Pelodiscus sinensis: one gene and its partner. The main gene of each other region encodes a partner of the protein of the gene in region 2 in a complex. Links are inferred from orthologs where the notes say so. Each region holds a gene or a part of one and is shown on either strand. Other genes may lie near its edges.

Region 1 (9,748 bases), on a different chromosome or scaffold from region 2:
CCCGGCCTTCCTGAAAGCACCTGGCCCCCTGTGGGTGCCATATAAATAATCATACAGATGCCCTCGCAATCTCCCATTTCTTTGCGAAAAAGAGTTTACCAGCATCCCGCTGTCCAATAGGGCATCTAATACCTCCCGGTCACCTGCCCGCCTGCCCCATGCTTATGGGGGCATGTGACAGCCACAGGCACAGCAAGCCACCGAAAAGAGGAGGGATCTTGCCCTTCGGTCACTTGTGAAAGCAAGAAGGGCAGCCGCTCCCAAGGCGATGCTGTAGGCTCTAACGCTGCACCATCGTGGGTGTGCGCTCTCCTGCTGGGGTGGGAGCGGCTCGGCAGGGTCCGGTTATTTCTTTCATACCTTGTTTTTCCTTTCTAAAAAGTATTTAACAGAAAAACAACACATGCCTTTGCTAAACACTGCTGCCCAGCTAGTGTTGGATCCGCCCACATTCCTGCATGTTGTGCATCACAGCCAGAACACACAGAGACACTTCTCACATCACTTCTGGGCATGCAAGAATGGGACTCAGCCCCTGAAAGAGAGTCAGACCCTAGCCCGGCTCCCTTTGAGGCATAATGTTAGGCATGCTGCCCCCACAGCTCCCTTGTGGCTGGGAATAGGCAGGATTAAAACAAACAAAAGGGAATGTTTCTTCACTCAGTAGCACAGTCAACCTGTGGAACTCCTTGCCAGAGGATGTTGTAAAGACCAGGACTTTAACAGGGTTCAAAAAAGAACTAGATATATTCATGGAGGTTAGGTCCATCAATGGCTGTTAGCCAGGACCGGCAGGGATAGTGACCTTAGTCTCTGTTTGTCAGAGGCTGGGAATGGGTGACAGGGGAGGGATCACTGGATGATTCCCTGTTATGTTCACTCCCTCTGGGATGGAAAACAGGACACTGGGCTAGATGGACCTTTGGACTGGCCTGCACTTGAAAGTTTCCCTGGTAGAGTTAGTTGACTTGGATAGAGTTAGTCGACTTTTTAACAAATTAGTTATACCGCAAAATAACCAAGAACGGACACAGAAATAGCAATAAACAGGTGACTTGTACTAGTCTAATTATTCCATTTCTTGCACATAACTACTTTCATAAGTATAAATATGCCAACACAACTGCCTGCACGGGAGTGGGTTGTACTGCATTAGCTGTACTGAGTTAAATGAAGCAACACAATTTCATAGTGTAGGTAGGTAGAAGGGAAGGAAGGAAGGAAGGAGAGAGGGAGAAGGAAGGAAGGAACTTTTCAGTGTGCGTATTGTAGTCTGTTAGTAAAAGCCTTTTACAGCTCTGGGCCAGTGTCTGCTGTCATGTTTGTCCCTTTAAACGGTCTCTGTCAGGCCAAAAATGCAAAGTCGTTTCCAAGGGTGACAGACAGTAGCTGACACCTTTCCCCTTCCGTAGGTTAGCCTATCATTTGGGCATCCTCATCTCCATACGTCCTAGCGGCAGTTGGACCCCACAGCTGCCATGCAGAACGCCAGCCGGGAGAGTTGTAAGTGGTGGCCAGGCCAGCTGTGTGGCATCGATTTAACGAATCACCTCGTTTGCATGAATACAAACATGTGGCCAACCTTTCATCAGCTTGCTAAAGTGCCAGCAGGCGGGCAGGGGGCCTGCAGATGGACCGGCCCCTTGGGGAGAAGGGCTGAGCTGGAATCGGAGTGGCAGGGTGGTCCTGCAGATCGTGGCTGCCAAATGACTCACCACAAGAGGGGTGACTTTGCTCCAACGCACAAACACTGTTCATCTTAGTCACCTGGGGGCGCCAAGAAAGCTTTAATCCTAGACATACCCGGACACCAAGCAAAACTGCAGACTTACACACGGCTGCTCATCACATCTTCTGGGACTTGTGTGTGCACAGCCATTCACGGTAAGGGACCAAACTCAATAACAACACAGTTACACCCAAAACACACCTGTATGCGCACCCACACACACATACCCATGTGTCCGTGCATGCTCACACACCTATATACACTGACATGCCTGCATGCTAACATCCAGGCATATACACCTATCTCAAACACACACAAAACAAAAAACAACAAGGAGTCCTGTGGCACCTTAGGCTACATCTATGTACTTAAAAACTGGAGCATGTCCCCTCTCCATCTTCTCTTTTCCAGAGTAAACAAACCCAATTTTTTCAGTCTTCCCTCACAGATCAAGTTTTCTAAATAACCTTTTAATCCTTTTTGGTCGCTCATCTCTGGACTTTCTCCAATTTGTCCACATCTTTGCAGAAAGGTGGTACCCAGAACTGGACACCAGTCCTACTGAGGCCTAATCATCGCAGGATAAAGCAGAGGAATGACTTCTCATGTCTTGCTCGCAACACTCCTGCCAACGCATCCCAAAATGGTGTGAGCTTTTTTGCAACAGTGTTGCACCATTCACTCGTATTTAGCTTGTGATCTGCTGTGACACTGCCCTCTCCTCCCCCCCCCCCCCCCCCCATCTTTCTGCAGGACCCTAGACAGTCATTTCCCATTTTGTATGTGTGCAACTGATTGTCCCTTCCTAAGTGGAGCACTTTGCATTAGTCCTCGTTGAATTTCATCCTATTGACCTCAGATCACTTCTCCAGTTTGTCCAGATCATTTTGAGTTTTGACCCTATCCTCCAGAGCACTTACAACCCCACGTCTGCATCACAGTGTCATTAAGCCATGCTCAGCATTTATCTTGAAACTAGGAACCACTAGGTCAGTAACAGATCTGTGGGGCATCAATTCTTGGAATCGAATGTGGGTCTGACCCAGATCCAATCTGAAGTGAGTGTTCAGAGTTGTGGGATCCCTGCTTTTGATTCAGAGATTCCAAAGGGATTGTTGTAAGCAGCTAGCCAGCCAAAGAACGTCTCTGAACTAATTCCTAGAGTAGATCATAGAAAAATATTGGACCGCGATATAAATATTGTAGTGATGGAGAATTTGCCAAGACCCTGGTTAAAATTGTTCCAATGGTTAACTGCTTTCACCATTACACCTGATTTCCAGTCTGAATTAGTCTTGCTTCAGCCTCCAGCCCTTGGATCATGTAATATCTTTCACTGCTAGACTGAAGAGCCCCTTGTTAAATATTTGTTCTCTGTATAGGTATTTCTAGATTGTAATAAAGTTACCCTTTAACCTTCCCATTCTTAAAACTAAATATGTCTATCACTACACAATATCAAGAGTAGCTCTGTTACTTTCTACCAAAACAACAAGGAATCTGGTGACACTTGCAGAAAAACGAATTTTATTATGGCATACGCTTTCATGAAAGCATATACCATAATAACCCTGTTAGTTTTTAAGGTGCCACTGGATTGATTTTCACTACAAGGCATGCTTTCTCGTCCTTTCATGGTTCCCCTGGCTAGTCTCTGAACCCTCTCCAATGCAGCCACATCTGTGCTGAACTATGGGAACCAGAACTGGACACAGTATTGCAGCCGCCGTCCCACCCGCGCCAAATACAGAGGTAAAATACCCTCCTACAGTGTGGTGGTGAGTACTGTATGAAATGCAGAGGCAGAGAGAGAGAAAGACTGGCGCTCTCTCTGGTACTGCCTTTTGTGTGAGTCGCGGCATTTGTTTGACTCCATACGATGCTGATATTGAATCAGGAATTCCGGAAAGGGCCATTTGTGGTGCTTTGTGTCAGCCTCTCTCTCCCGTCACCTCGACAGGTGAGCTTTCAGCGGGAATGCAGGTTCACGCGTTTGTGACACTCATCACCCGCCAAGCGCCCAGGGGAGTAGGCTGTGAATTCTATCACTGCACAAATGTCTTGAGCGGTGCTGAAGGCCTCCCAGGAGGACCACCCTTGCTGTGGCTGCCTTCTCGGGAGGGACGCAGGGTGTGAAGTGCCCCGCTGCAGGAGGAAGCTGGGTAGCAGGAGTGGGGGCACGGTTAGAGGGGAAATGGTCCCAACGCGCTCATCACATGGGAGCACACTGTGGGACAGGCGGAGAACCTCTGTCGCAGAAATCCTTTCTCAGCCCCCTACCACCAAACCAGCCCACGGCCATGGCAATGCCTGGGAGGCTGCTCCCAAACCTGCCGTGAGGGCGAGGGGCTGGACTCGATGACCTCTCGAGGTCCCTTCCCGTCCTATGATTCTATGATTCATATTGCCCAAAGGTATTTCCTTCCTTGCCCTGCTTTGTCTGCCGGGACTACAAAGCCCCTGGGCCGGACTGGGCGTGCAGAGTAGCAGCAGGCTGCCACGCGTCCTACTGGCACGGGGCGAGGGCTAGTGGGGGCAGGGGGACGAGTGATTAGGGAAGGGTGATCTGCGGGGGGGAGAATGGGCAGGGGAGGGGAGGGGAGACATGGCGCTTGGGGGGAGGCTGGGGCAGCAAGAGGAGCCGGGGCAGGGGAGAGGAGCAGGCTGACGGGCAGGGGGATGGGGAGGGGACGGACTGGCAGCAAGGGGAGGAAGGGGGATGGGAAGGGGAGGGGCTGGGAGGAGAGGGCGGGGCTGGAGGAGGAGGGAGGGACAGCTGGAGGAGAGGGCGGGGCTGGAGGAGGAGGGGGGGCAGTTGGAGGAGAGGGCGGGGCTGAGGAGCAGCCAGTGGGATGGGAAGGGGAGGGGCTGGGAGGAGAGGGCGGGGCTGGAGGAGGAGGGAGGGGCAGTTGGAGGAGAGGGCGGGGCTGGAGGAGGAGGGGGGGCAGTTGGAGGAGAGGGCGGGGCTGAGGAGCAGCCAGTGGGATGGGAAGGGGCGGGGCTGGAGGAGGAGGGAGGGGCAGTTGGAGGAGAGGGCGGGGCTGAGGAGCAGCCAGTGGGATGGGAAGGGGCGGGGCTGGAGGAGGAGGGAGGGGCAGTTGGAGGAGAGGGCGGGGCTGAGGAGTAGCCAGTGGGATGGGAAGGGGCGGGGCTGGAGGAGGAGGGAGGGGCAGTTGGAGGAGGGGCGGGGCTGAGGAGCAGCCAGTGGGATGGGAAGGGGCGGGGCTGGAGGAGGAGGGAGGGGCAGTTGGAGGAGGGGCGGGGCTGAGGAGCAGCCAGTGGGATGGGAAGGGGCGGGGCTGGAGGAGGAGGGAGGGGCAGTTGGAGGAGGGGCGGGGCTGAGGAGCAGCCAGTGGGATGGGAAGGGGCGGGGCTGGAGGAGGAGGGAGGGGCAGTTGGAGGAGAGGGCGGGGCTGAGGAGCAGCCAGTGGGATGGGAAGGGGCGGGGCTGGAGGAGGAGGGAGGGGCAGTTGGAGGAGGGGCGGGGCTGAGGAGTAGCCAGTGGGATGGGAAGGGGCGGGGCTGGAGGAGGAGGGAGGGGCAGTTGGAGGAGGGGCGGGGCTGAGGAGTAGCCAGTGGGATGGGAAGGGGCGGGGCTGGAGGAGGAGGGAGGGGCAGTTGGAGGAGAGGGCGGGGCTGAGGAGCAGCCAGTGGGATGGGAAGGGGCGGGGCTGGAGGAGGAGGGAGGGGCAGTTGGAGGAGGGGCGGGGCTGAGGAGCAGCCAGTGGGATGGGAAGGGGCGGGGCTGGAGGAGGAGGGAGGGGCAGTTGGAGGAGGGGCGGGGCTGAGGAGTAGCCAGTGGCAGGGGAAGGGGCGGGGCTGGAGGAGGAGGGAGGGGCAGTTGGAGGAGAGGGCGGGGCTGAGGAGTAGCCAGTGGCAGGGGAAGGGGCGGGGCTGGAGGAGGAGGGAGGGGCAGTTGGAGGAGGGGCGGGGCTGAGGAGTAGCCAGTGGCAGGGGAAGGGGCGGGGCTGGAGGAGGAGGGAGGGGCAGTTGGAGGAGGGGCGGGGCTGAGGAGTAGCCAGTGGGATGGGAAGGGGCGGGGCTGGAGGAGGAGGGAGGGGCAGTTGGAGGAGGGGCGGGGCTGAGGAGCAGCCAGTGGGATGGGAAGGGGCGGGGCTGGAGGAGGAGGGAGGGGCAGTTGGAGGAGGGGCGGGGCTGAGGAGTAGCCAGTGGGATAGGAAGGGGCGGGGCTGGAGGAGGAGGGAGGGGCAGTTGGAGGAGGGGCGGGGCTGAGGAGTAGCCAGTGGCAGGGGAAGGGGAGGGGCCTCAGGCGCCGCCGTTGCCGTGGTGCCGTGCGCGGGGCGGAAGGGGCGTGGCCGCCGGCTGCTTCCGGGCGGGCGCGGGCCGGGGCAGGGGGCGCGCGGCGCTCGGGCAGCCCCAGTCGCCATGTCCGGGAGCTGCCGCCAGGGCCACACGCCGAGCCGGGCCATCCCCGCCAAGCGCCTCAGCCTGCCCGACGGGGCCGCGCTGCCGCCCGGCCACTACAGCACCACGCCGGGGGGCACCGTGTTCGGCACCACGCCGGGCGGTGAGTGGGGCGGGGCCCCCCGGGCGGGACCTCCCCCCCCCCCCCCCCCGCGGAGCCGTGAGCGGAGCGCGAGGGGCCGGACGGGGCTGGGGGTTGGGAACGCGCCGCTGCTGGAACTTGCCCCGCTGCATGTTTGGGGGGGCGCCCAGGGGGCCCGTTTAGAGCCCCCCCCCCCGCCTGCCCGCCGCTGCCTCGTGTGCACCCACTTCCCCAGCCCGTAGGGCGCTCGGCAGGGAGGCGGTGTCGCGGGGCGGGTGAGGGAGGGAGGGAGGGAGCACTGTGCAGAGCTTGGGGACAAAGGGGGCCCGACGCAGGGATAGGGGGCAATAGTTTGGGGGTCCCGAGACTGGGGCGCTCGTAGGTGCCAGAGGGAAACAGGCGGGGCTGTGCCCACGGGGGTTAGCACCAAACACTGGTTCACCCAGGACACCTGTTTCCCTAAGTCCAGCCCTGAATTGAATATATTCAAAGTTCTGTCAAATGTACAATGTAAATAAGTGGGTAGGAGGTTTTTTTTCACTAATATTACATGTCAAGTGACCTTAGGAGGTGCATGTAACAATAGTAGTTTTTTTAAAAAAAGAAAAAAAAAGACAGAAGTATGAAGATTAAATGGGTGTGTTTAAAAACAACAACAACAGTTGGGCTAGCCTGAGAGAGTCTTGGCACAGAAACTGAAGGTCTTAGTTTCAGTTGTGCTAGGTATCCATTTTGTGCTCTGAGAGCGCAAGCAGTAGGAATTCTTAAACATTAGGCACCTCTTGCAACAATTGTCACAAGTTTAGGAGAATTGGGATCAACTGATTATTTTCCAATACATGTTCTGCAGTATATTTGTTAGGGATGCTAAGTATCGGTTAATCGAATAGTCGAGTCACCTCATGAATTCTTATCCGTTAGTTGACTATTCTCTAGTCCCCGGGGGTGGGGCCGGCAGCCACTGTATTAGAGGCAGAAGCGTGGGGTACCAGGAGGGAGCTGGTCTATGAGGGGAGCCAGTTTAAAAACCAGCTCCCCTCACAGACTGGCTGCCTGTTACCCTGTGCAGCTGCCTCTGATAAAGAGGACGTTTCTCAAAATATCTAATCACTAGTAATAGCCTTTATTTTCAAGAATCCTGTTTAGTTTCTCAGTGATTTGGATAATCCAGAGAATGAATATTTTAATGTGTGCTTGTTTTTAAGATTTGAAAAACTAGGGTGAGTTTAAAAGCTCCATATCGCACTTCAGTTCTGCTTTTATCTGTTAACTTACATTTTATTGCTGTTAGTACTTACCATATGTTTATGTTCCCATGGCTATTCTTAGAATGATTAACAATGGAGTTTTAATCTCTCTTTCCCAAGACTACTGTCAATAGACTCTAAAATAAAATTCCTTCAAATCTCCCTTTAAAAAATTTGAATTAAGCAAATACTAACAGTTCTTAACACGGATCAGCCACACAGATCTTTCCTGTGCTGATCCATAAACCAAATAATTATTATGAAAAGGCAATTGCACTTCACTGTTCAGTAAGCTTTCAGGAGCAGAGACAGTTCTCAGGTGCATTCCTATGTTAAACAAATGCTTGTTCGTTTGAAAGGTTTAGGTGTAAAAACCTTTAGCAAAATGTTACTGTTTATTAACACGTGTACAGTGAAGCATTGTAAACAATACATCAGGTTGCACTTCAGAATAAAGGAGCAAATGTAATAGGGCATGGAACACCCATTTCTAATTTTAAAGAGCCAAATATTATACTCTTTAATCTCCCAAACAGTTCCATTGATTTCAGTGGAACTGTGTGGGGAATACAGGATTTAGTGCCAAAATCAGAAATCTGCAGTAACCGGTTCAGCCATTGGTGCAAATTATCACGGTTCCATTGGTGTATTAGAGGCCTGATCTACAGACCTAAACTTTAGGTTGACCTAGCTGAGGGACATAGTTAAGCCAACCTAAGCACTGGTAGAGACACTGTTAGATTGAAGGCAGAATCTTTAATTGGGGTACTGTCTTCACGATAGTAACATAGCTGCAGCTGTGTCTGTAGCACAGACATATCCCAAGTCTAGTGCTGAGGAAGTTTGGAAGCACAAATGGCTTTCAGAAAGCATTGTCCTGTAATTTAAAAGTGGTTTGCCTAATTTCGGTAAGTTCAAAGCCAGCTCAATATATGTTTTCTTCCTTTACCTTGAGTGAAAATGAGTTATGGGGTGATACTGGAATGTGATTTCTCAGAGAACATGAGAGAGCTAGACCTGAAATAGTCATTTTAGTCTCTTGTCAGTACTATTGCAGTGAGCTTATAAGGTTTTGAATGATTTATTAAAGACCACTGATTAGGATGCTCTTCACAGCTCCAAGCTTCTGCAGGCTCTGTAATAGGCTTTCTGCAATAGGCTAATCTTCACACTGCAGAAAGAAAGGGAAACAGTTTGGTTTTTCAATCACTGCACACATGCGAGGCAGCTCTTCTTTGCTGCTTGCTCCCCAGTTCTGACTGTAGGATGGCTCCACTAAGACAGAGGAGCTCTACCTGGATTCACTCGTCCTTAGGTGACCCTGAGAGGCACCACTGGCATCCCTCACCTCCACTGTAGACTGCTGTTGTCCGTGAGGAGCTCAGAGCGGATGGTTTTGAGCATCCCAGTTTGGTTGCTGGCAGAGGGATTTGCCAGTATGAAGAATGTTCCTGCAGTGTACGGTGCCTGTCCCCTTCCACCCATTGCTAATGGACTTTGGGTTGGCAAGACCTCGCTGTGCCGGGGTGCTTCCAGCTCAGTGTACTTACACTATGCGAACGGTTGTGGCCCGGAGGGGCTTGGTTACCTCTTCCATCTTGGCCGGGAGAAGTTGAGAGAATAAAGTACGCTTGGCCGTGCGGTGAGACTGCTGAATGGCCCCTAATATGGACCAAAGGCAGCAACTGAAATGAGGAATGAGACTCTGATGAGTTTGGCAGCTGGGGTTCCCCTGCAGGCTGTCCCTGTAAGGGCCTGAGCCTGCGTTCCTTGTGTGTCTGGGCTGCACAGGGACCAGACAGTGAACCGGTTAGAGCCACTGGGCTTTGGAAGACAGAAACTGCTGAGCCAGTATCTTGTTAGCACTTGCTAGGATTTTGTAACTTGCGCATCGCTTCCAAGCATTGTCAGGGTGCCCTTAAGAAGGGAGCAGTGGGTGAGGATGCGATTTTTTTTGTTCCTCTTGTCTTCCAAGACCTTTGATCAAAGTATCACAGCTTCCTACTTCCAATGAACTTAGTTTGATGGGAACCCTAACAAGGACCAGATGCCTGTCCTCCAATTACACAGTGCAGGGACATGCTCAGATACAGCGCTGGGGGCAATACAAACCCTCACAGAGAGCAAGATTGACCAGAAGCTTATAGAAGAGAACTTCTGCCAGTCAGAACCCCTCCCCCATGCATGGCTGGAGCTCTGTTGGACAGGAGGGGAAAGCCACGAATCAGCTGTCCTGGGGCAGGGAGTAAAGATTGTTTTGCAGAA
Region 2 (10,206 bases):
AAAATCGCAGGCAGATTTCATTTTAAAAGCTCTTCTTACAAACTTAATGGCTGTGTCTACATTGGCACCCTTTTCCGGGAATAAGGGATCTTCCGGAAAAGGGTTTATTTTCCGCAAGATCCCGTCTAGACTGGCGCTTTTCTCCGGCAAAACCCCGAGCCGGAAAAAAGCAGCAACCATGTTCATGCAAATGCCGCGGGGGATATTTAAATCCCCCGTGGCATTTGCAATTCCGACTGGTCTCATTAGCATCCCTTTTCCGGAAAAGGGTGCCAATGTAGACACAGCCAATGTGTACATTTTGGGGTAGGTGAGTCTGAAAAGCCTGCTTTGCGATCCGTTTCGTGGTGCTTCCTGAGTGATAGCAATGTAAATTGTGTGGTTTTGAGTGTGTCTGCTTTTAGGCCCCAGTGTTAATTGATGAGCTAGTCTGTTCTGTGTTCCACAAGGCCATATCATTAGAAGAACGCAGAGGACATCGTGTCAAACAGCTCCTCCCAATGACACTCGAGCTGGAAATATCGTATGGTTAGACAATTAAGAGGAGTGACTTAGAGGTCCTGGAAGATATACTGGTGGGTTTGTCAGAACTCCATGGTTTCCCTTTCATTCCCTCACTTCCTCCCTGAGAACAAAGGGGGACCATAAAGTTTTACTTGATTCTCCTGGAGCACAAGACACCATCATAAATTTGCTTTCTTTTGAGGTTGCTTTTTGTTCAGTTACATCATTTTCTGCTCAATTTATCACAAAAGCTTGACATACACAAACAAATCCCAGCCCATTCAACAACTTCAGGCAGAAAACCAATGCCTGGCAGGATTTTAACAAAAAAGTGCTGCGAACATAAAACCCATTCAACTCCTGCCCAATGTCCCAGTCTGCATAAAATAGCACCCCCTCTTCTCCCCTTTGTGAATCGTTTATTCCAAAATAATTATACATACATTTCCTCTTTTCTAAAACGTCAGGGAGTTTCAGCATGAAAACCTAGACATGTGGTGGGTACGGGGGGGAGGGGAGAATTCCCTTCAGCCCCCAGATTTGGGGAACACTCTGCTGCTGTGCATAATGTAAACAGGAATCCCCATGACCAAACTTATTTATACACTTTCACGGTACCATTTGTGTCAGAGAAATCAATCATTTTCCCCTTTAACTTATGTAAAGTGGATTCTGGATCAGACACATCCCTTAGGGGTGGATCTATTCATGGAGATTCTCTCTGTCCTAGTAAGGCGGAGAGGATGGAAAAGGACAAAATGCAGGCAGGATCTGATCAGAAACAGTGACATGAAGAAGAGTCACATTCAATTACACCAGCAGACAGCTAAAAAGTGACACGTTTTTAATGTGCTTATAGACAAAGGCTAGAAATCTAAATAATAAGATGGGTGAACTAGAGTGCCTGGTATGGAATGATGGTGTTGATATGTAAACCAGAGGCCCCGAGAAGGCTGAGTGAAGGCTGCTCTATGGCCTGAGATAAGCGCAACTTAGTTTTTTAGCTCATGTGGTAGAAGAGGCTCATGGCTTTAGCCTCTAAGGATGCAGGTTCAATCCCACCCACCGACAGCTGTTGGTTTTACAGATATAATAGGTGGTGTCCCCCTGGGACCTGTACTGGGACCAGTCCTATTCACCTGTGCAGCTGCCTATTTAACATTGTTCAAGTACTTAAGGACCCCCCATGGGACCTGCCGTAGCCTGGGGAGGATGGCCTCTTCTTTGGCCCCAACCTAATCTGGTTTCCAGGCTGCCATGGCTTAGGCAGCCCAGCCCTGAACCGTGCCATAGTAGCTCGGCCCAGCCCTATCTGCGGCACCAGGATCTGCTGTGACCAGGGCAGCCCTTCCCCAGCTCAAACACATCCCTGAACTGGAACCTATGGGGAGAAGTGCCTTTCCCTTCTAGTGCAGGTGCTGCTGCGAGGAGTGAGAGCTGGGGGGAGTCTTCTCCATCTTCACAGTAGCCCTGGAGCACCCTCCTTCACCTTAACTCTGTTTGTCAGAGGCTGGGATGGGCAACAGGGGCAGGATCGCTTGATGATTCCCTGTTCTGTTCACTCCCTCTGGGGCACCTGGCATTGGCCACTGACGGTAGACAGGACACTGGGCTAGATGGGCCTTCGGTCTGAGCCAGTCTGGCCGTTCTTATGTTCTCGTCAATACTAAATGCTGTTTGTTTTATTGTGAAAAAGTCCAACTATAAATGTATGGATACCATGAAGTTTTTTTTTAAAAAAAAATCAGGACTCTCCATATATTGTCCTGATACAATAGGATAAAAATAGGATCCAATCCTGTTTATTATGTATTATTTATTATCTTTCAGGTACTTTGTGCCAACTGCTGTAAATCAGAATAACCTCAGTGAAGTTAATGGAGCTACAACACCCATTCATGTGGCCCTTACACATCGGCTGCGTCTAGATTGGCATGATTTTCCGGATATGCTTTTAACAGAAAAGTTTTCTGTTAAAAGCATTTTCAGAACAGAGTGTCTAGATTGGCAGGACGCTTTTCCACAAAAGCACTTTTTGCAGAAAAGCGTCCGTGCCAATCTAGACGCGCTTTTCCGCAAAAAAAGCCCTGATCGCCATTTTCTCGATCGGGGCTTTTTTGCGCAAAACAAATCTCACCTGTCTACACTGGCCCTTTTGCGCAAAAGCTTATTGTGCAAAATAGTATTTCCGCAAGAAGCACTGATTTCTTACAGTAGGAAGTCAGTGCTTTTGTGGAAATTCAAGCGGCCAGTGTAGACAGCTGGCAAGTTTTTCTGGAAAAGCAGCTGATTTTCCGGAAAAACTGGCCAGTCTAGACACAGCCATAGGAAACAGATCCCTGAAACTAACTTCTGTTCTCCAAACACGAAAGGGTTATGCTCTTCATCCAGACATTGCTAGTCACGCTGATGGTCTTCTCAGAATTGTGCTGGACTAAGTCCAAGACCATGGTCCTCAAAGTTGATTTGGTTGCACAAAGATTTTGTGGTCTAAGTAAACAATTAAAAATCAGCAAAGCAGCTGCTATGTGAGGTTGAGTTCCAGCCAGAAGAAAGAAGGAAAACAATGCTTGTGAACAAAAAGAGTCAGCATTGGTAAGAAAGATGGGTATAATGTTAAAAAAAGAATTAGAAGCCCAACAGAGTGAAGCCAGTTACAAAAGTATTTGAAAAATAATTATCTGTGTTTGCTTCATTGAGCCTTGTTCACCTTTTCCGACTGTACTGGTCATGCCTGCTTTACATGCTGTGAATCTGTTGGAACAGGGATCACCTATATGTTCTGTATCTGTACAGTGCCTAGCACAATCAGGCGCCTGCTTGTATTAGGGCCCTCTGGGAGCTACTGCTAAACAAATACAAAATCAGTAGTAAGTATTTTGAGGTTATCCTCATGTGCCTGGCAAAGGAGTCTTCCTATGACAGAGCCGTTTCCTTAACTTATTAAATAAAGTAATGTATATTTAGGTTGTATTTAAAGCTTGCAGAAATTACACCTTTATTAAGTACTGTACTAGCCTAAGGCCCTTAGCCCTATGTCACACTTATATATCCAAAACATGGCCTATGTGTTGCTTAAGACTGAAGGAAAAGGAGGGAGTAATACCCTATAAACTGTAGGGTGTTTGTGGGAGTGCTGTGCAGAAAGTGGGGGTTCTGGGGTGTTTTGCGGAAGGTTGGGTTATTGAGGGGTGCTGTGCAGAATGTGGGGTTCTGGGGTGTTTTGCGGAAGGTTGGGTTATTGAGGGGTGCTGTGCGGAATGTGGGGGGTCTGGGGTGTTTTGCAGAAGGTTGGGTTATTGAGGGGGTGCTGTGCGGAATGTGGGGGGTCTGGGGTGTTTTGCGGAAGGTTGGGTTATTGAGGGGGTGCTGTGCGGAATGTGGGGGGTCTGGGGTGTTTTGCGGAAGGTTGGGTTATTGAGGGGTGCTGTGCGGAATGTGGGGGGTCTGGGGTGTTTTGCGGAAGGTTGGGTTATTGAGGGGGTGCTGTGCGGAATGTGGGGGGTCTGTGGTGTTTTTCGGAAGGTTGGGTTATTGAGGGGTGCTGTGCGGAATGTGGGGGGTCTGGGGTGTTTTGCGGAAGGTTGGGTTATTGAGGGGTGCTGTGCGGAATGTGGGGGTCTGGGGTGTTTTGCGGAAGGTTGGGTTATTGAGGGGTGCTGTGCGGAATGTGGGGTTCTGGGGTGTTTTGCGGAAGGTTGGGTTATTGAGGGGGTGCTGTGCGGAATGTGGGGGTTTTGGGGTGTTTTGCGGAAGGTTGGGTTATTGAGGGGTGCTGTGCGGAATGTGGGGGGTCTGGGGTGTTTTGCGGAAGGTTGGGTTATTGAGGGGGTGCTGTGCGGAATGTGGGGGGTCTGTGGTGTTTTTCGGAAGGTTGGGTTATTGAGGGGTGCTGTGCGGAATGTGGGGGGTCTGGGGTGTTTTGCGGAAGGTTGGGTTATTGAGGGGGTGCTGTGCGGAATGTGGGGTCTGGGGTGTTTTGCGGAAGGTTGGGTTATTGAGGGGTGCCGTGCGGAATGTGGGGTTCTGGGGTGTTTTGCGGAAGGTTGGGTTATTGAGGGGTGCTGTGCGGAATGTGGGGGGTCTGGGGTGTTTTGCGGGAGGTTGGGTTATTGAGGGGGTGCTGTGCGGAATGTGGGGTTCTGGGGTGTTTTGCGGAAGGTTGGGTTATTGAGGGGTGCTGTGCGGAATGTGGGGTTCTGGGGTGTTTTGCGGAAGGTTGGGTTATTGAGGGGTGCTGTGCGGAATGTGGGGTTCTGGGGTGTTTTGCGGGAGGTTGGGTTATTGAGGGGTGCTGTGCGGAATGTGGGGTTCTGGGGTGTTTTGCGGAAGGTTGGGTTATTGAGGGGTGCTGTGCGGAATGTGGGGTTCTGGGGTGTTTTGCGGAAGGTTGGGTTATTGAGGGGTGCCGTGCGGAATGTGGGGGTTCTGGGGTGTTTTGCGGGAGGTTGGGTTATTGAGGGGTGCCGTGCGGAATGTGGGGTTCTGGGGTGTTTTGCGGAAGGTTGGGTTATTGAGGGGTGCTGTGCGGAATGTGGGGGTTCTGGGGTGTTTTGCGGAAGGTTGGGTTATTGAGGGGTGCTGTGAGGAATGTGGGGTTCTGGGGTGTTTTGCGGAAGGTTGGGTTATTGAGGGGTGCTGTGCGGAATGTGGGGTTCTGGGGTGTTTTGCGGAAGGTTGGGTTATTGAGGGGTGCTGTGCGGAATGTGGGGGCCTGGGGTGTTTTGCGGGAGGTTGGGTTATTGAGGGGGTGCTGTGCGGAATGTGGGGGTCTGGGGTGTTTTGCGGAAGGTTGGGTTATTGAGGGGTGCTGTGCGGAATGTGGGGGTCTGGGGTGTTTTGCGGAAGGTTGGGTTATTGAGGGGTGCTGTGCGGAATGTGGGGGGTCTGGGGTGTTTTGCGGGGTGCTGTGGGGCGTTTGCAGGGTTTGGGGTGTTCTGGAGGGGAGGTGTTTGGGGGTTCTGAGGGGATAGTCTGGGGCACCCTTTGGAGGGGGTCACCCACGACACGCCCACCCCCAGGCACTGGGCCAGCAGGCTGCGAGGAGGAGGCTCCGCTCCCCCAGCCGAAGCGCGGTTCCGAACGCGGCCGGCGCGGCTTGTCTCCCGCGGCGGCCCGTCCCCGCGGTGCATTGTGGGCCGCGGCAATATGGCCGCCTCCTTGGTGTGCGCCTGAGGGGAGTTTCATTCGCCGGCGCTGCGGGACGGGGCCCCTCCGCCGGGGGCCGGAGCCAGCGCGCGTGGGGGAGGAGCCGGGGGAGGGCGCGATGGGCCGAGCCCGGCTCCCGCCGCAGCAGCCGGGGAGCGAGCCCTGCCCGCGGGGCTAGAGGCCCGGGCGCCCCGAGTGCTCAGCGACCCCTCCGCGCTGCCCGGGCCGAGGAGACGCCGCTTGCCTGCGGGCGCCCCCTGCACGGAGCCGGGTCGGGCCCCCCCGCGCCTGGGACCCCTCCCCCTCCTGCCCCTGAGCCCCGCCCGGCAGAGGGACCCGCCCGCCCCGGCCTGTGCGGGGGTGGAGAGCGCGGAGCCCTTGCGGCCGGACCCCTCCCCCCCTCTCCCGATGGAGGCTGAGATGCTGCAGTCGCCTCTCCTGGGGGTCGGAGGGGAGGAGGAGGAGTCGGACCTGACGGACTGGAACTTGCCTCTGGCCTTCATGAAGAAGCGGCACTGCGAGAAGATCGAGGGCTCCAAGTCTCTGGCCCAGAGCTGGAGGATGAAGGACCGGGTAATGCCCCGGGGCGGGGGACTTCTGCGGGGGGAGGGGTAGGTGGCGGCTCTGGTTTTGATCTGCCCCATGTGGTCGGAGGCACCGCTAGAGTTTGTTTCTAGTAGTCAGGTTTGCCTGGGGCCCAGGCACTTGTTGCATCGCTACCGTGGAAGTGAACACACGAAGAAGTTAATAGTGACGGTTACCAATGTTCCCTCTCATCTTTTCCATCCATGTGCGGAATACATTGGGGTGCACACAGAGGCAGGTGTGAATGTGCACCACTAGTAGAAACCCAAAACCTAGTTGTGGGTGCTCTGCTGATCAGCCGGGTGGCAGTTGAGCCTCTCTTGAGTGGCGGCACAAACACACAACTTAAAAGGAAGACTGTTCGAGTTCCTAATTATATGCATTTTAAATAGCTACACTGAGTTTCTGCGAAATTGGTGCTCTTCTGAGAAAGTAGTGGCATTAGTGGTGTCTTAAAACAGACCTCACTGGTTCATGTTAGTGGCATGGGCAGTGGGTGCAATGAATGCAAGTATTATATTCTGTGAAGTTCTCCTTTGAGGTTTTTTTAGTCCTCCATTGGCATGTTGCATGGAGTATATGAGTGATGCATGCTTACCAGAGCAATGTCAGGCTCATGATGTTTTTGAGATGGAAGATGCCTATTTGATCCTTAAACATGTTAACCTACAAGGCAGGATATTGTTTCTTGACCGAATATCTACAGAACATTAAATGGATGCTGTATTATGTAGGGATGTAAAATCCTATTTAATTGGCTAACTGGTTAAGCATATTAACTAATTAAAGGGGAGCTGAGCAAAGGCAGGAGCCTGGCTGGAGCACCACCCTCCCATGCATAGCAGGCCCCCTGTGGGGCTGGGGCAGCCCATAGCAGGTGGGGAGCTGCTCCACTCCCCCACTGGTTAACTTTAACCTGTAAGCCACACCTGTTAAGGATGAGACTGGTTAAACCTTCACATTCCTAGTCCTAAGCTTTGCTACTAAAAAGCAAACTTTTCTCTCAGGCCCATGTAGTCCTCTGTGGCTTGATTTCTACAGTTAAACTTTTCTGGTTAGATATAAAAGTGGAATGGAAAAGAGTGTGCACTTGATCTTCTCTCAGAACTGGCTATAACTTAAAGATTTTCTTAGCTCTTGGGTATATACTGCCTTTGTGTGTCTGTGTATGGACACCTAGTATGTTTCCAAACCACAGTTACCTGATAAACAACTAACTTTCTCAATTCATTATTACTGTAATCTCGAAAAAGGTGTTTTAAGAAGCAATTCTATATTGGGCCTCTAGTGGTGGACTAGATGGCACGCAATAGGTAGTGTCCTACCAGATTTATGGTCCATTTTTGCCAATTTCACCATCCTAGGATTTTGAAAATAGTAAATTTCATGATTTCAGCTAATTAAATCTGAAATTTCATGGTGGTGTAATTGTACACCATTACAATTACAGAGCCAAAAAGAAATTGTGGGTCTGGGTGTCACGGGATTATTGTAAAGGGGGAGGTTACAGTACTACTACCCTTACTTCTGCATGATTGCTGGTCGCAGTGCTGCCTTCAGAGCTGTGAAGCTGAAGAGTGGCAGCTGCTTGACTGGAATCCAGTTCTGAAGGCAGAGCTGCTACCAGCAGTACTGCAGAAATAGGGATGGTTTGCTGTGGTATTGCCACCCTTATTTCTGAGCTGCTGTCTACAGTCAGCAGCTGCCACTTTCTAGCGGCCCAGCTCTGAAGGCAGCAGCACAAAACACCCTTACTTCTGCGCTGCTGCTTTTATTTTTGGTTTTCTTGTTGTTACCACAAATAATTATGATGTTAGAATGTTCCATAATTGTGATAGAATTCTTATTTAATAACCACCTCCTCCGCACATCTTCCCCAAATTTCCACAGACACTTCAAATCTCTGGGAATGTTGAGATGACTTATTATTGACAATGTTAATTACAGTAGGGTTTTAGGAACACCAACATTAGGCCCCCATCTGTACAGTGTAGTACAGTGTCTGCTCTGAAGAATTTATAGTCTAAATAGGCAAGATAGACAAAGGGTAGTGGAAAAGGATCTAATGTACAAATAGAATGGACAAAATGATGACAGCAGTCGTACTAGTTCCACAGTATTTTTGGAGGGGAAGGGTTTTAGAGTACTGGGTACATGGGGAGGGTGCATGGGATAAGGAGGAGAGGAAGGGGTAAGCATGGAGTGAAGCTGAGGTAAAGAAACTGGGTAGAAGCTTGGAGCAAACATTCAACCAGCACAGATGAGAACAAGTCCAATCAGAGCTGTAGAAAATATCCTCTGATCCTGCTTAAACAGCTTCTGTGTATGCTTTGCCTGATTTCATTTCTGACTGGCTCCTCCCTATAGTTTTTTTACCCGAAGGGCGGATGGTGGGAGAGGAGGCGCTCTCTGGGTTCCATTGTCCCTACATAGTTCTGGGTCCAGGGGCATTGTGTGTGTAGGACTGTAGCCCCATTTTATTTCCTGGATCTCTGGTGCAACTTCAGCTGGATCATGAGATATTGAAGGTTTCAATTTACATAAGAGACATAGAAATGTCCTTTCTCTGTTAGGGATGTTAGATATTGTTTAATTTAATAATCGCGTAACCACACAAAATCTTAGCTGTTACACTATCATTCAATGGTCCTTGGGGTCAGGGCTGGTAGCCAATTCACTCCTGGTCCCACTTCCAGGAACCCCCTGCGGACAGGGGCTGTTCCGGCATCCTGTCTGCCTTCCCCCTGTGCTGTTGCCTTTATGCTGGCTCCCCACCCCTGCACTGGCTCCCTCACCCCCGCCCTGCCTCCTTCCCCCCCCCCCCCATGCTGCTTCTGTGGGAGGCAGCAAGGGGGGGGGGGAAGGGCAGGTGGCTCCACAGAGCTGGCACGTGTGGATCTTAAAAGCCAGTTCTCCATGAGCACTGGCTCCCACCTCTCCCTCCTCCCCTTGCTGCCTCAATCTAAATTCCCTCTAAGCTGCACAGCTTTCTATTATATCCCATGCTCTGCCTGTAGTGTGGAAAGGCACCTCTTCCTAAGCCCCAGAGCTGCTTTGGCCGGGGCGGCGGGAGAGGGGGGAAGAGGCACCTCTACTTGCTGGCTCCTGCATAGAACTGCCATGGCTGGGGGGAGAGATGCCTCTCCACTGGCCCTGAGTAGCTGCAATGAGAGATGACTGGGAGTTCTCTCTTCCTGGGGCAGCCTTCTCCCCTAAGGAGCCTGTGTCCCTAGTGAACGCTCACCCCACATCCCAACCCTCCTGCACTCCAGACTCCTTATTCCTGTCCCCACCTAAGAGCCTGTACCTTTACCCAGAGCTGTCAGCCTGCTGCACTCTAACCCTGTTCCCCAACCTAGAACACTCTCCCACACCCCAATCCTTTGGCCCCACCTCTGCCACACACTGTCCATGTGCAGAATTACTTTTGTTATGAGATGCATCATCTCCATATTAGTGCACATAATGAAAATCATTCTGCACACGGATATAAAACTAGAGGAATGTTGGTCTCCGTATGGTTCTGTAGATGGTTGTGGAATTGTAATCTAATCTTGTCTTTGGTGGGTTCTACAGGTCATTGTGCAGCGGATCCTCACGTTTGTGCTACCTGTAGTTTCAGTTGGATATAGTGTTCTTTATTTTCTATCCTTAACTGCTGTGTGGTGTTACTGTGCCCTATTAAGAACTTCCTGTGTTTCATCTTGGAAGTGACTGTGCTTCAGTAATTTTCTCTTTGTCTCTCTCTAGTATAACTTGTACTGTTGGTAAAATGCATAAAGTGCTTTGGGGTGGAAGATGTTATAAGAATACAGGCTTCTGTGCTTGCATGCTTCTGTTTATCTTTCACTTTTATATGAAAAACCTAATTGGGAAGTAAAATGTCCCAGTGCAACTATCCAAGTTTAAAAAAAAAACACCTGTTAAAAGCTGCTCCAAGGATATGTCGGTGTTGTTGAAATCCTCAGC

Evidence for each region. The genes of interacting proteins can lie anywhere in the genome.
Region 1: the proteins of RPTOR (region 2) and EIF4EBP1 are in contact, whole or in part, in a cryo-EM structure (PDB 6BCX), measured with the Homo sapiens proteins. The link is inferred for Pelodiscus sinensis from reciprocal best matches to the Homo sapiens genes RPTOR and EIF4EBP1. Residues at the interface, in NP_065812.1 of Homo sapiens: Arg54, Arg305, Thr317, Asp321, Phe337, Arg338, Leu341, Ala344, Arg348, Leu437, Gln438, Leu440, Leu441, Ser442, Gln443, Arg446, Tyr475, Lys478, Leu479, Gln481; in NP_004086.1 of Homo sapiens: Glu111, Ser112, Gln113, Phe114, Glu115, Met116, Asp117, Ile118.

What each region holds. Positions count from the first base shown.
Region 1 is NC_134738.1:15,246,160-15,255,907, forward strand, and holds the start of EIF4EBP1 (eukaryotic translation initiation factor 4E-binding protein 1), read left to right. Parts: upstream 1-5,999; 5' UTR 6,000-6,115; coding exon 6,116-6,257; intron 6,258-9,748. UniProt on the Homo sapiens protein: Repressor of translation initiation that regulates EIF4E activity by preventing its assembly into the eIF4F complex: hypophosphorylated form competes with EIF4G1/EIF4G3 and strongly binds to EIF4E, leading to repress translation.
Region 2 is NC_134730.1:28,323,918-28,334,123, reverse strand, and holds the start of RPTOR (regulatory-associated protein of mTOR), read left to right. Parts: upstream 1-5,630; 5' UTR 5,631-6,060; coding exon 6,061-6,225; intron 6,226-10,206. UniProt on the Homo sapiens protein: Component of the mechanistic target of rapamycin complex 1 (mTORC1), an evolutionarily conserved central nutrient sensor that stimulates anabolic reactions and macromolecule biosynthesis to promote cellular biomass generation and growth.